Canis lupus familiaris: one gene and its partners. The protein of the gene in region 3 purifies or fractionates together with the protein of the main gene of each other region. This does not show direct contact. Links are inferred from orthologs where the notes say so. Each region holds a gene or a part of one and is shown on either strand. Other genes may lie near its edges.

Region 1 (3,644 bases), on a different chromosome or scaffold from region 3:
TGTGGGACTCAATCCCTGGACTAGGATCATACCCTGAGCCGCAGGCAGGAAGCCACAGTCATTTTATCTGTTATGCAGAGATTTAAAGAATTGAAAAATAGATGCAATACCTATTCCTCACTCAGAAATACAAAAGATTTTATGTCTCCCCGGTTTCCCATAACAATTCTAGAGAAACATCAAATAACAAATGTAAAACAAGATGGAATAAACTCCTACAGAGAGTAAAACAGATACACAAATAAAAGACAAAAACCACATAATCATCTTAATCTCACTAGACACAGAAAAAGCATTTGACAACATTCAGCATCTCTTCATGGTAAAAACACTCAACAAACGGTAATAAATGGGAAACTTCCCCAACTTAATAAAGGGCATCTATGAAAAACTCAGTTATGATGACTTTTAATGGTAAAGGACTGAAAACTTTCCCCGTAAGATCAGGAACAAGACAAGGATGTCCACTTGTACGCTACTATTCAACAACATTATTCTAGAGGTGCCAGCCGGGGCCATTAGGCAAGAAAAAGAATTGGAAGGTATTCAGTTTGGAAAGGAAAAAGTAGAATTGTCTTTATTCACAGATGCCGTTTTATTGTATTTAAAACATCCTAAGGAGGGGCACCTGGATGGCTCGGTGGTTGAGTGTGTCTGCCTTTGGCTCAGGTCCTGGGGTCGAGTCCCGAAATGGGCTCTCCACTGGGAGGCTGCTTCTCCCTCTGCCTGTGTCTCTGCCTCTCTCTGTGCATCTCTCATGAATAAATAAATAAAATCTTAAAAAATAAATAAAACATCCTAAGGAATCAACCAAAAAGCAATTAAAACTAATAAGTCTAGCAAGGTTGCAGAATCCAATAACAATACATAAAAAATCAGCTCTGTTTCTCTATACTTGCAAGGAATAAATGGAAAAGGAAATTGAGAGCAATTCTATTTACAATAGCATCAAAAAATAAAATACTTAGGATATATTTAATGAAAGAAGTTCAAGATTTGTACATTGACAACTACAAACACTATGGACAGAAATTAAAGACCCAAATAAAAAGAAAGATGCTCCATGTTGATGGACTGGAAGGCAATAATGTTAAATGGCAATACTCTCCAAACTGATCTACAGATTCAACACAATTCCTACCAAAGTCCCAGATGTCATTTTTGCAGAAATCAATGGGTAATCCTAAAATTCATACAGAAATGCAAGAAACCCAGAATAGCTAAAACAATCTTGAAAAAGAACAAAGGGTCATAGTTCTTGATTTGAAAACTTACTACAAAGCTACAGTGATCAATGTGGTACTGGTATAGGAAAAGACAAATGGGGCAACACCATAGGACTGGGAGTCTAGAAAAATCCTTAAATTCATGTTTGAATGATTCTTGACAAGTGTGCCAAGACAAGTCAAGGGGAAAGGAAGAGGCTATTCAACAAGTGGTGTAAGAATGGCTGGGTGTTCACATGCAAAAGAATAAAACTGAATCCCACCCTCTGCTACACACAAAAATCAGGGCTTCTGGGTGGCTCAGTCAGTTAAACATCTGCCTTCAGCTCAGATCACGATCTCAGAGCCCTGAGATTGAGCCCTGTGTTGGGCTCCCTGCTCAGTGGGGAGCCTGCTTCTCCCTATTCCCCAGCTGGTGTGTGCATGCACACATGCTCTCTCTCAAACAAATAAAATCTTTTAAAAATTTTTATTTAGAACAGATCATAGCACTAAGTATAAGAGCCGAAATTGAAAAACTCCTTAGAAGGAAACAGAGGCATGTTCTTATAGCATAAAAACATTTTACTTAACCAAAAACAAAGTCAATTCAGGATAGACACAAAAATGCCCTTTTTTTAGTTAACCTTGCCGTACACGACTACCACCAATAACTATTAATGAACTGGTTGACAGATATATTCATCCATACCACCACAGCTCTGGCAACTCAACTAGTTGATGGGAAATCTTTTTCTAGTCCCAAAGCAAGGTGAGGCATAGGCTGGGATACTCATTTCCTGCGTGGAAATACTGGTCTATGAGCCAAGCCAAACACAGTACCCAGCACCTTCAGTCCTAGGGACCCCTAAGAGCGAAAGCCAGGGGCCTGATGCAACTGGGGTCTTGGCTCTGAACCGTACACATTTGGCAAGTTATGTAACCCTTCTGGAGACTCCGTGCCCTCTTTAATTATACTCCACCGTGTTCTCTAAGGGAGCTAAAATAGCTGGGTTTTGGTTTATCCATTAAAAATAAGAAATAAGCATTGTAGGTACACCCAAAAATTTGTACACAAAAATTCATAGGATCATTCCTAATAGTCCAAGAACTGGAAACACGCAAATGGCCACTAGGTGATAAATGGATAAAACAAAATGCAGTGAAGTATCATTCAGTCACAGAAAGGTACTGACACATGCTACAACATGGATGATCCTCGAAATAAGACCAAAAAAAGAGAGAAAACAGTATGCTACAGGGAAAGAAAACAGACATGAAGAGCATATGTTATATTCCATTAATGTAACATAGATGTCCAGAACAGACGAGTTTACAGAGATAGGAAAATAGATTCGTGGTTGCTAGAGGGCTGGGAATGGAAGGGTGTCAGCTAAGGGATACAGGATTTCTTTGGGGTACAATGAAAATACCCTACAGTTGACTGTGGTGACAGTTGCACAACTCTGAATATACTGAAAGCCATCGAAGGATACCCTTTAAATGAGTAAGGTATATGGCATGTGAATCACATCTCAAAGAGGAAAAGTGCTTAAGAAAAAACAGCCATTGGATCAAAATCCTAGGGTCGCTCTCTGGTTCAGTCTGTGGTTCAATAGGGTCCCTCGCTCACCTGCAGTTTGGAAGTCAATCTCAATAGGATTGGAGAGGCTGGTGGCTGCTTCTCGCCACAGGCTGCCCCTGACAGGAGACCAGGCTGTCACCATGCAGCGGTATAGCCCTGCATCCGAGACCTGAGTCTGGTACATTCGGTAGCGAAATTCATCTTCCTGCACTTTCTCCAACACGACGCCGTCCACCCGGGATGCGTCTGTCCAATTCTCCAGCTTCACCACAGAATCCTGGTCCAGGGAAATGATGTACTTGGTTTCGTTGGGGCTGGTGAGGTCCCCCACAGGCTTCTCAGCAGTGATGAGAACAGAGTAGCGAGGCGACTTAATATTCTTGGAAGACACTTTGCAAGTCATCTCAAATGTATTCCCTGCAGCAAAGAAAGGCTTTGGCTGCCTTGCCTTCACCACGAGCACAGAATCTAGAATGAAGTACCAGAAAGAGGTGATTGCCAACAGGACAAGTGAAAACAGATATGTGTCTGAAATGACAAGGAAATTGGACTTTATGTGCAAATTGCTGTGCGATAGCACTTGAGGAAATCAGAAGGAAAATCATGAGTGTCTGTAAGCAGGCTACAAACCACCAGGCTGGATAAAGCAGAACAGTCTGATGTGATTTAATGGGAGACTACTGGTGCCCTCAAGGATGTGAGGCAGAGCTCACTCTTCGTTGTGAAGAGGAAGAGACATAGCGGAACACAACACCCAGGTCAAGGCCGTAGGCCACGCCAGGTGCCTCCTCTCCCCTGAGGTTCTGCTGTGTGCAGGGAAAGTCTCCTGGGAAGAGCAGAGCAAAGGAGATATG
Region 2 (3,744 bases), on a different chromosome or scaffold from region 3:
CTCTAGGCCGGGCCGGGGCCCAGGGAGGACGCAGCGCCCCCACTGCTCAGCCGGCGGCCTCGGGGGGCCCGGGGGCGCTGCGCCCAAAGGCTGCGACTCCCTCTGCCTCACACCGAGCTCCGGGCCCGGCTCTGGGCGCCCGCCCTGCGTGGGCAGCGCTCGCCCGTCTTCGTAATTGCCCGGGCTTGGCTGGAGGCCCAGGGGCCGGTTCTGCCCATGATCTTTGAAGTTCAGTCTCCCCTGGTGGCTCCCCTCCCCCCAGACTTCACCGTCTGAGATTTGGGGCAGTTCCCTCCCCCGTCACCCCCATCTCCATCCTGGGCTGGGTCTCCCTTTGCTCACTTTCCCTCTCTCAGCTCCAGCACCTGGCTCTGTGGCCTCCCACCGCTCGTCACACCCCTTAGTCCCCCAGTCCCTTCCTGGGGAGAAAGCAGGCTCCGTGGAGACCAATGCTGGGATCTCCAAGCACCTTGTGTCTGTGAGGGTGGGTGTCCGTGGTGAGGTGTTCTGGCCACCGCTGCATGGATGCATGAGGGCACTGACAGCGCCATCGCTTTTGGCCTCAACTGGAGGGTCCCTTAGGAGGTGGTCTGGGGAGGAGTATGGCTTTGAGACAGGGACGCTGCCAGCACAGATGTTTGGGAGACTGAAGCTCTTGAAATAAGAGCGCAGAGTGGGGGTGGCCCTGCCCCCCGGATTCAGAGTTGCCACAGTCAAGGCGCAGGCTGACGAAACACCAGCAGCCCGTCTCTAGACCAGAGCTCCACTGCAGTGCCAAGCAGATCCTCCCCTGGCTCCATGGGTCCCTGGGCCCTGGGGAACTAGGCCTCCTTGGGCCCTAGGTGAGAGGCAGGAGGAAGTTGCTGTGGGGCCTGGTTGCCTAGCAGTTGGCCGGTTGTCCCTAGTGGATGGCATGGAGTGGAAGAGCCCAGGGGAGGTGGGGAAGTGTGATACACAGACGTGCAAGAACCTGCAGAGGTCTGAGCACCCATTGCGTGCAGATGCTTACGTTCATTCTGAAGAGGAGGAAAATGAGGTAATTTGCTCCAGAGAGCCCATCTAGTGAGTGTGGGGGCTTGGATTCGAACCCAGACCCACCTGACTCCAGAGCAGGTCTCTGCTGCCCCGCCTCCCCTCCTGGGCTGGGGAGAAAGCTGTCTGGCAGCTGGTTTCTTTCTTTCTTTTTTTTTTTTTTTTTTAAGATTTTATTTATTCATTCATGAAAGAGACAGAGGCAGAGACACAGGCAGAGGGAGGAGCAGGCTCCATGGAGGGAGCCTGATGTGGGACTCGATCCGAGGTCTCCAGGATCACGCCCTGGGCTGAAGGCGGCGGTGCTAAACTGCTGAGCCACCTGGGCTGCCTGGCAGCTGGTTCCCTAAGGCGGCCTGGCTGGCCTGCTTTCCCATGGGGATCTCCACAAGCAGCAGCAGCTGTGCGGCCAGGAAGGTGGGAGGGGGCCCTTCTAAGCAGAGTCTGCCCTGAAGCCCTAAGGTGTCAGCTGTCTCCACCATCACCTAGATTATGAAATGCCCTGGGGCAGGGCCCTCCTGAGTCACAGGCTCACTCACTCTCAGAGAAGCAGCCCTGAGCTCTCCTCCAGGAGAGGAACCGTCTTGGGAGAGGAAGGGACGTGTCAATCCAGCTGAGCATGGGGCTGTGTCTGGGACCCAACCTCCTGAGGCCCAGCATGTGCTTTAACCAGGCGGCCATGAGGGACTCAGCCACAGGAAGAAGGGGCTGAGAGCCCACTCACGTGGGAAAGTCAAGGGGAGCACTTCTGGAGGAGCTAGAAGGCAGAGTTTGACCGCGGACTTTGTGTTTTCCTCTGGCTTCTGTAGAAAGGCCCTGGGAATGCCCCTGGGAGTGACATTCTGGTTGGTGAGGTCAGTCCCCTCAAGCCTGGCCTGGGAGTTTCCCATCTTCCTCCCTGGCTTCGTCCCTCTGCAGGGGCCTGTGGAAGCCATCGAAGGGTAGTAAGATCTAGACAAGACCTCTGCAGTGTCTTGGTCAAGATGTACTTCTCCAGCCTTCCATCCCTCGTCTGTGAAATGGAGGCAGGGTGCTGACCGGGGGCTGCAGTTCTGTGGTTTTGGGGGGCAGGGGTTGGCTATGGAAGAATGGAAGGAGAGAAGGAAGAAGCAGGGCCTCTCCAAGGGCCTTGGGAGTGTCCTGTGGGGCTGGATAAAGAACAGAAATTTGGCCTCTCTGAGGAGAGCAAGATGGGAAGAGACAGCTGGGGACCTCTCAACAGAGAGGGGACCTTACATAAGCGAATGCACACCATATGCAAATGAAGGCTTTTGTTAGGGAGTTGGAGGTGCCCTGCATCAGCTGGGCGAGCCCAGAAGATTGGCAGGCCCTTGAGGGGGGGGAGTCTTCTGCCCCCAGAGGCCAGGGCAGAGGCTGGTTCTTGCCCCAGAAGCCTCAGCTGCCTCGGCAGTGCTGCCGGGTGGGAGAAGCAGTGAGCTCATGGCACAGCTGGAGGGGGGAGGGCATTGTGTGGTGAGAACTGGCTGGGTCTGTGCCCTGTCCTGCTCGGCCACTGGCTCCATTGTCTGGAGTCCCCTGGTCCAGGTGACACAGCGGAGCCAAGCAGCCCTCATAAGGAGGTGGACGTGTGGTCTCAGAACCCTTAGCTGGAAGACCCGAGGACCCGGCCCAGAGCGGATGAGGGTGGGAAATGCCGGAGGGACATGGAGGTGCAGCTGAAGCCAAGGAGAGAAAGCAGCTGGACCTCGCTCTGCCCGCGGGCGGCTCACCTCTGGCCTGCCAGAAATGGGATGTTTCTGGGTTCTGAGGCAAAGCCAGGTCTCTGACCCCCTGGAGACCCAGGTGTCCTACCAGGTGTCTTAGCTCCGGGCATCCTTCCCCTTTGCTCAGGGCAGGGCCCCAGCTGGGCCCCCACCCTTCCCCAGGTTTGCTCTCCTTTACCGGGCAGGGGTCCAGGATGGTACTGGCAGCGGGGGCTGCAGTGGGGGCCCAGGCCTCTCCAGCTTCTCCCGTCCTTTCCTACAGGAGTCCAGGGCTCTGCCCGGGAGGTGCTGGTCCCCGAGGGGCCCCTGTACCGCGTGGCAGGCACGGCCATCTCCATCTCCTGCAACGTGAGCGGCTACGAGGGCCCGTCCCAACAGGACTTCGAGTGGTTCCTCTACAGGCCGGAGGCCCCCGAGGCTGCTCTGGGCATCGTCAGCACCAGGGATACCCACTTCTCCTACGCCGTTTTCGGGCCCCGCGTGGCCGCTGGTGAAGTGCAGGTACAGCGTCTGCAGGGGGACGCTGTGCTGCTCAAGATTGCCCGCCTCCAGGCACAGGACGCTGGCATTTACGAGTGCTACACGCCCTCCACTGACGCCCGCTACCTGGGCAGCTACAGCGGCAAGGTGGAGCTGAGAGGTACCGGCCTGGGGTGGGAGCGGGCCCGTGCGCCCCGAGGGGACAGGAGGGGCCGACCTAGCGCCCCGCCCCGTCAGGTTGTGTGGCTGAGGAGGCTGAGGCACGGAGTCCGTGTGGGGCTCGCACACAGTCACCGGTTGGTGGCCGGCCCGGGGCTCTGAACCGGCATCTCTTCATTGCCGCCCAGCGCCCTTCCTCTTCTGTGGGGTTACCTCCTGGGAAAGGGGGAGCCGGTCCCCGCCATTCCCTGGTCGGGGAGCCCCCTCGGGGGAACAGGCTCCATTCCTGGGGATTCCAGGATGCAGATCTGGGGGCGGGGGGGCCAAGCGGAGGTAGGGTCGGAGGAGT
Region 3 (3,744 bases):
TTCTCCCTCTCCCTCCTGCTTGCACACTCCCTCTCCCTCTCTCTCTCAAATAAATAATCTTTTTTTAAAAAAAAGAACCCTGGCAGACCCCAAGTGAGGATGTAAGCCATTTTTATTATAATGTTATCTCAACACACACAAACACTACACTATGTACAAACACGTGTGCATAGCTCTTATACAAGCAGGAAGCCAGGATGGACTTTGATTTTATTATTATATTTTATTTATACCCCAACTTTCTTTTTTTAAGTAGGCTCCACACCCAACACTGGGCTTGAACTCACCATCTCCAGATCAAGAGTCCCATGCTCTACCAAGTGAGCCAGCCAGGTGCCCCTGGAACAGATTTTTTTAAATTAACCACCAAGAAAACTACAGAAATAAGAGTACAGAGACAGGAGTAAGCTAGGGCTGCTCCGGCTAATAGGAAGCTGCTGGCCACCCAGGGCCATTCCCACTGCAGTGAAGTACAATGAAAAATCTGGGTCCTGCTGGGTGGTGGCACTGGCCCCGTGTCAAGGGGTCAGCAGTCATTTGTGCCAGGGTTACACGGAACATTTCCACTTCTTCATCCGAGAGTCACCAGGCCACAGGTCCGCTCTGTCACCTGGGGAGAAGCACTGCCCACTTGATGGGTCCCCTCCTGCCCGCATCCCCATCAGCCTGCCCCCCGGCCCCCATCTTCAGAAAACCGACTTGACTGTGGGGCTGGCCTCCACCGGGGTGAGCAGAGTACACAGTGTTTGGAGGCTGTCCTACAGGTGGCTGGGGTCTCCTGGACATTTAACACCGGTCACCGTCTCAGGGACCTTTCCAAGCAGACTCTGTCGCCGTGCTCAACAACTGCCCTTACCGTGGATGACCAGGATTTTCAAGCCAGGCCGGCTGGCTGTCAGGCTCATCACCCACCCTGGGGGGCACTCGCTGCTGCATCACCTCCTCCAGGGAGCCTCCTTGGATTGTCCGAAGCGCCTGGGGAAGGCCGAGAGAAGGGGAAGGTGTTCGCAGGGCGCCGCGAGGCCGGCCGGCGTTGGGCTCGGGGCACCCAGGTCTGACCCCCGCGGAGCGCGCGCTCCGGGGGCGGGGCGGGGGCCGGGGGCGGGGCCGGGGGCGGGGCCGGAGCGCCCTATAACAGGCGGCGGGGGCGCGCGCGCGGCCAGAGAGCGAGCGCGCAGCGGCGGCGGTCGACCCAGCGCGCCCCGGCCCGGCCTCCCGCGCCCCGCGCCCCGCGCCCCCGAGTACCCGCGCCCCGAGCACCCGCGCCCCGGGCCCGCGCCCCGCCCCGCCGCCCGCCAGGCCCCGCGCCCCGCGCCCCGGCCCGGCCCGGCCCGCCCCGCGCACCCCGCAGGCCACTCGCCGCCCGCGCCGCCATGGGGGTGGAGGGCTGCACCAAGTGCATCAAGTACCTGCTCTTCGTCTTCAATTTCGTCTTCTGGGTGAGCCCCCGGCGGGGGGCGGGGGGCGGGGGGGGCCGGGACGCCCCGAGCCCGGCAGGCCGCGCGCCCCACTAGGCCGCGCAGAGGGGCCACCTGTGGGCGCCGGGCGGGGGGTGGTCCGGGGCCGGCAGACGGGCGGAGGGGGTGCTGCGAGCCGGCTGTCGGGGCGCGGGGCCGGGCCGGGGCGTCCGGGGGGCCGTGGGGGCTGAGCCCGCCGAGCGATGGCGGGCGGCGCGGCGGGAGCGGGCTGGGGGCCGCGGGCCGCCGTGAGGGGACCACCCTGCTCCGCCGGCACCGAGGGGGCTCGGGGGGCGGGGCTCCCGGCGCCCCGCCCCCATGAGCTCATCCGAGCCGCCGCCCCTGGAAGGACGGGGGGGCGGGGGGCGGGGGGCAGGGGGGCCGCGCACTCGGTGCGGTCCTGGGAAGCCCTCGCCCCACGGCCGGCCCAGCAAGCCCTGCCGCCCCGGGGATGGCCGTGGGGGGCCCCCAGCGGCCCGCGCCTGGTGGGGCCGGCCCCCTGCACTGCCCCCCCAGCCCGGGGTTGCAGCCTGCCCCGGCCAGGACGCGGTGGAGGCTTTGAGGGGAGTGGGGCCAGGGCGGGCAGGGGGCCCCGTGGACCCGAGCGCCTCTGGGCCCCTCCGGAGCCTGGGTCCCAGGGGATGCCCAGGTCTGGGCTTCGGTCTGAGCTTGGACGTCCACCTTGGAAGAGGTAGCCACAGGATGTTCATCTTGGGGTGCAGGAGGGTCTCAGGGCCGTCAGGCTGCTGACCTGCAAGTCGCGTTTTCCTGGCCTGGGTGGTAACTGCTGGCCAGGAACGCTGGAGCTTTGGCTTTGTTTCGGTTTCCTGCCTGTGTTGGAGTTGGGGAGGGGCCCCGAGTGGGTGCAGGAACCCCTCTCCTGGCGCTGCCCTGCCTCCTCGTGGCCAGTCATGTTCCCCCCCCCCACCCCCCACCCCCCGCAGGACCTGGGAACCTTCCTGGGTGGCTGTGTGCTGCTCGCCACCCAGGCTGCTCACTCCTTCTGGGAAAGGACCATGACAACATCTGCTGGACAGTGTATTTCCCAAGTAGATGCAAGAGGGTAAACTTTTAAAATGGTCCCCAGAGCAAGTGTGTGGGATTGGGGACATCTGTTTCCGTTCTGGACATCCGAGGATCCCAGCGTGGATCTTGGGGCAGTGAGGTGTTTGGGGTGGCGGGGACAGAGACTGGACGGAGCTTTAGCTGAGGGTGAAGTGGAGGCATTGCCCCCCGCCTGGGTGGGAGGCACAGCTGGGGGTCGCTGTGGCCACTGGCCTCTGCCTGGGGAGTGGGGAGCACGGGGACTGTCAGGATGGGCCAGGTATGACCTTAACCATGCCTGGGGTCTTTGCCGAAGAGGTGGTGTTGAGTGTCGATTTAGTATTTGCCTGCTATGGCCTGGGTGTATAGGGGTCGGGGTGAAGGGACACCCAGACACCCCTCTGCTGGCCTCTGAGCCCCTCCCCTACCAGCGGAGCCTGGATGTGGGGTGAGGACCCTGACCAGGAAGTGGAGGGTAGACAGACATAGAGGCTGTCTTCTGGAGTAGATTCTTGTCCTTGGGCTGAGTGTCAGCTCTGGGTAAGTCCCTCCCCGCTGCCCAGCTTGGGAGGTCTCCAGGGCAGCCCGCGCTCACCTCCCAGCTCTGCTTGAGCGAGTCCGGTAGTTCCCCAGGCAGCTGGGCAGAGGCCTGACACATCCCCAGGGGCTGCTCTTCATTGAGGCTTGAGGAAACGTTTCCAGGCCTCTCCTCTCCCAGCCACCCAGCTGAGCACTCAGCGCTGCATCCCACGGTCCAGTTGCCTCGGTCCCACCCACCCCTGCAACAGACATGCAGAGCTGAGCAAGGTGGGGCTGGGGGCCACCACTGTGGCAGAGCCCCTCTCTGCGGGCGTCCCGCCTCACCTGGCTGGCAGCATGGTGCCGAGGGGCTGGTTCTGGGTGGTGGAGCCCTGTCCCCTCTGCTGCAGTCCTGGGCCTTGGAGTCCTGCCCCCTGAGGTGGACGTTTTCCACGTCCTGTCTCCCGGGGCTGGCAGATTAGCTAACACCCTTACAGGCGAGCTCAGGAGGTGGTCGTAGGGCACGGATGGCCGGCAGGAAGACTGCTGTCCTGCTGTCCTGGCCCGGTGTGGGCTGTGCCTCGGGGAAGGGGTTTCGGATGCCCCAGAGGGTGGTGGGTGAGGGAGGGCACCCCAGTGCCTGGCCTGACTCGCTCACTGTGCACCGTGGCCACCGTACAGGAGTGGGTGCTGAGGGGGAGCCGGGAGGAGACTTTGACAGTGG

The links.
Region 1: the proteins of CD81 (region 3) and PTGFRN purify together in Homo sapiens (co-immunoprecipitation; 7 studies listed by BioGRID and IntAct, with this or other methods). This does not show direct contact. The link is inferred for Canis lupus familiaris from reciprocal best matches to the Homo sapiens genes CD81 and PTGFRN.
Region 2: the proteins of CD81 (region 3) and IGSF8 purify together in Homo sapiens (co-immunoprecipitation; 3 studies listed by BioGRID and IntAct, with this or other methods). This does not show direct contact. The link is inferred for Canis lupus familiaris from reciprocal best matches to the Homo sapiens genes CD81 and IGSF8.

What each region holds. Positions count from the first base shown.
Region 1 is NC_049238.1:54,893,144-54,896,787, reverse strand, and holds part of PTGFRN (prostaglandin F2 receptor negative regulator), read right to left. Parts: intron 3,259-3,644; coding exon 2,839-3,258; intron 1-2,838. UniProt on the Homo sapiens protein: Inhibits the binding of prostaglandin F2-alpha (PGF2-alpha) to its specific FP receptor, by decreasing the receptor number rather than the affinity constant. Functional coupling with the prostaglandin F2-alpha receptor seems to occur.
Region 2 is NC_049259.1:22,920,858-22,924,601, forward strand, and holds the start of IGSF8 (immunoglobulin superfamily member 8), read left to right. Parts: upstream 1-1,249; 5' UTR 1,250-2,696; coding exon 2,697-2,811; intron 2,812-3,018; coding exon 3,019-3,396; intron 3,397-3,744. UniProt on the Homo sapiens protein: Member of the immunoglobulin superfamily (IgSF) that links tetraspanin-enriched microdomains to the actin cytoskeleton and plays several important roles in innate and adaptive immunity.
Region 3 is NC_049239.1:46,911,568-46,915,311, forward strand, and holds the start of CD81 (CD81 antigen), read left to right. Parts: upstream 1-1,174; 5' UTR 1,175-1,373; coding exon 1,374-1,439; intron 1,440-3,744. UniProt on the Homo sapiens protein: Structural component of specialized membrane microdomains known as tetraspanin-enriched microdomains (TERMs), which act as platforms for receptor clustering and signaling.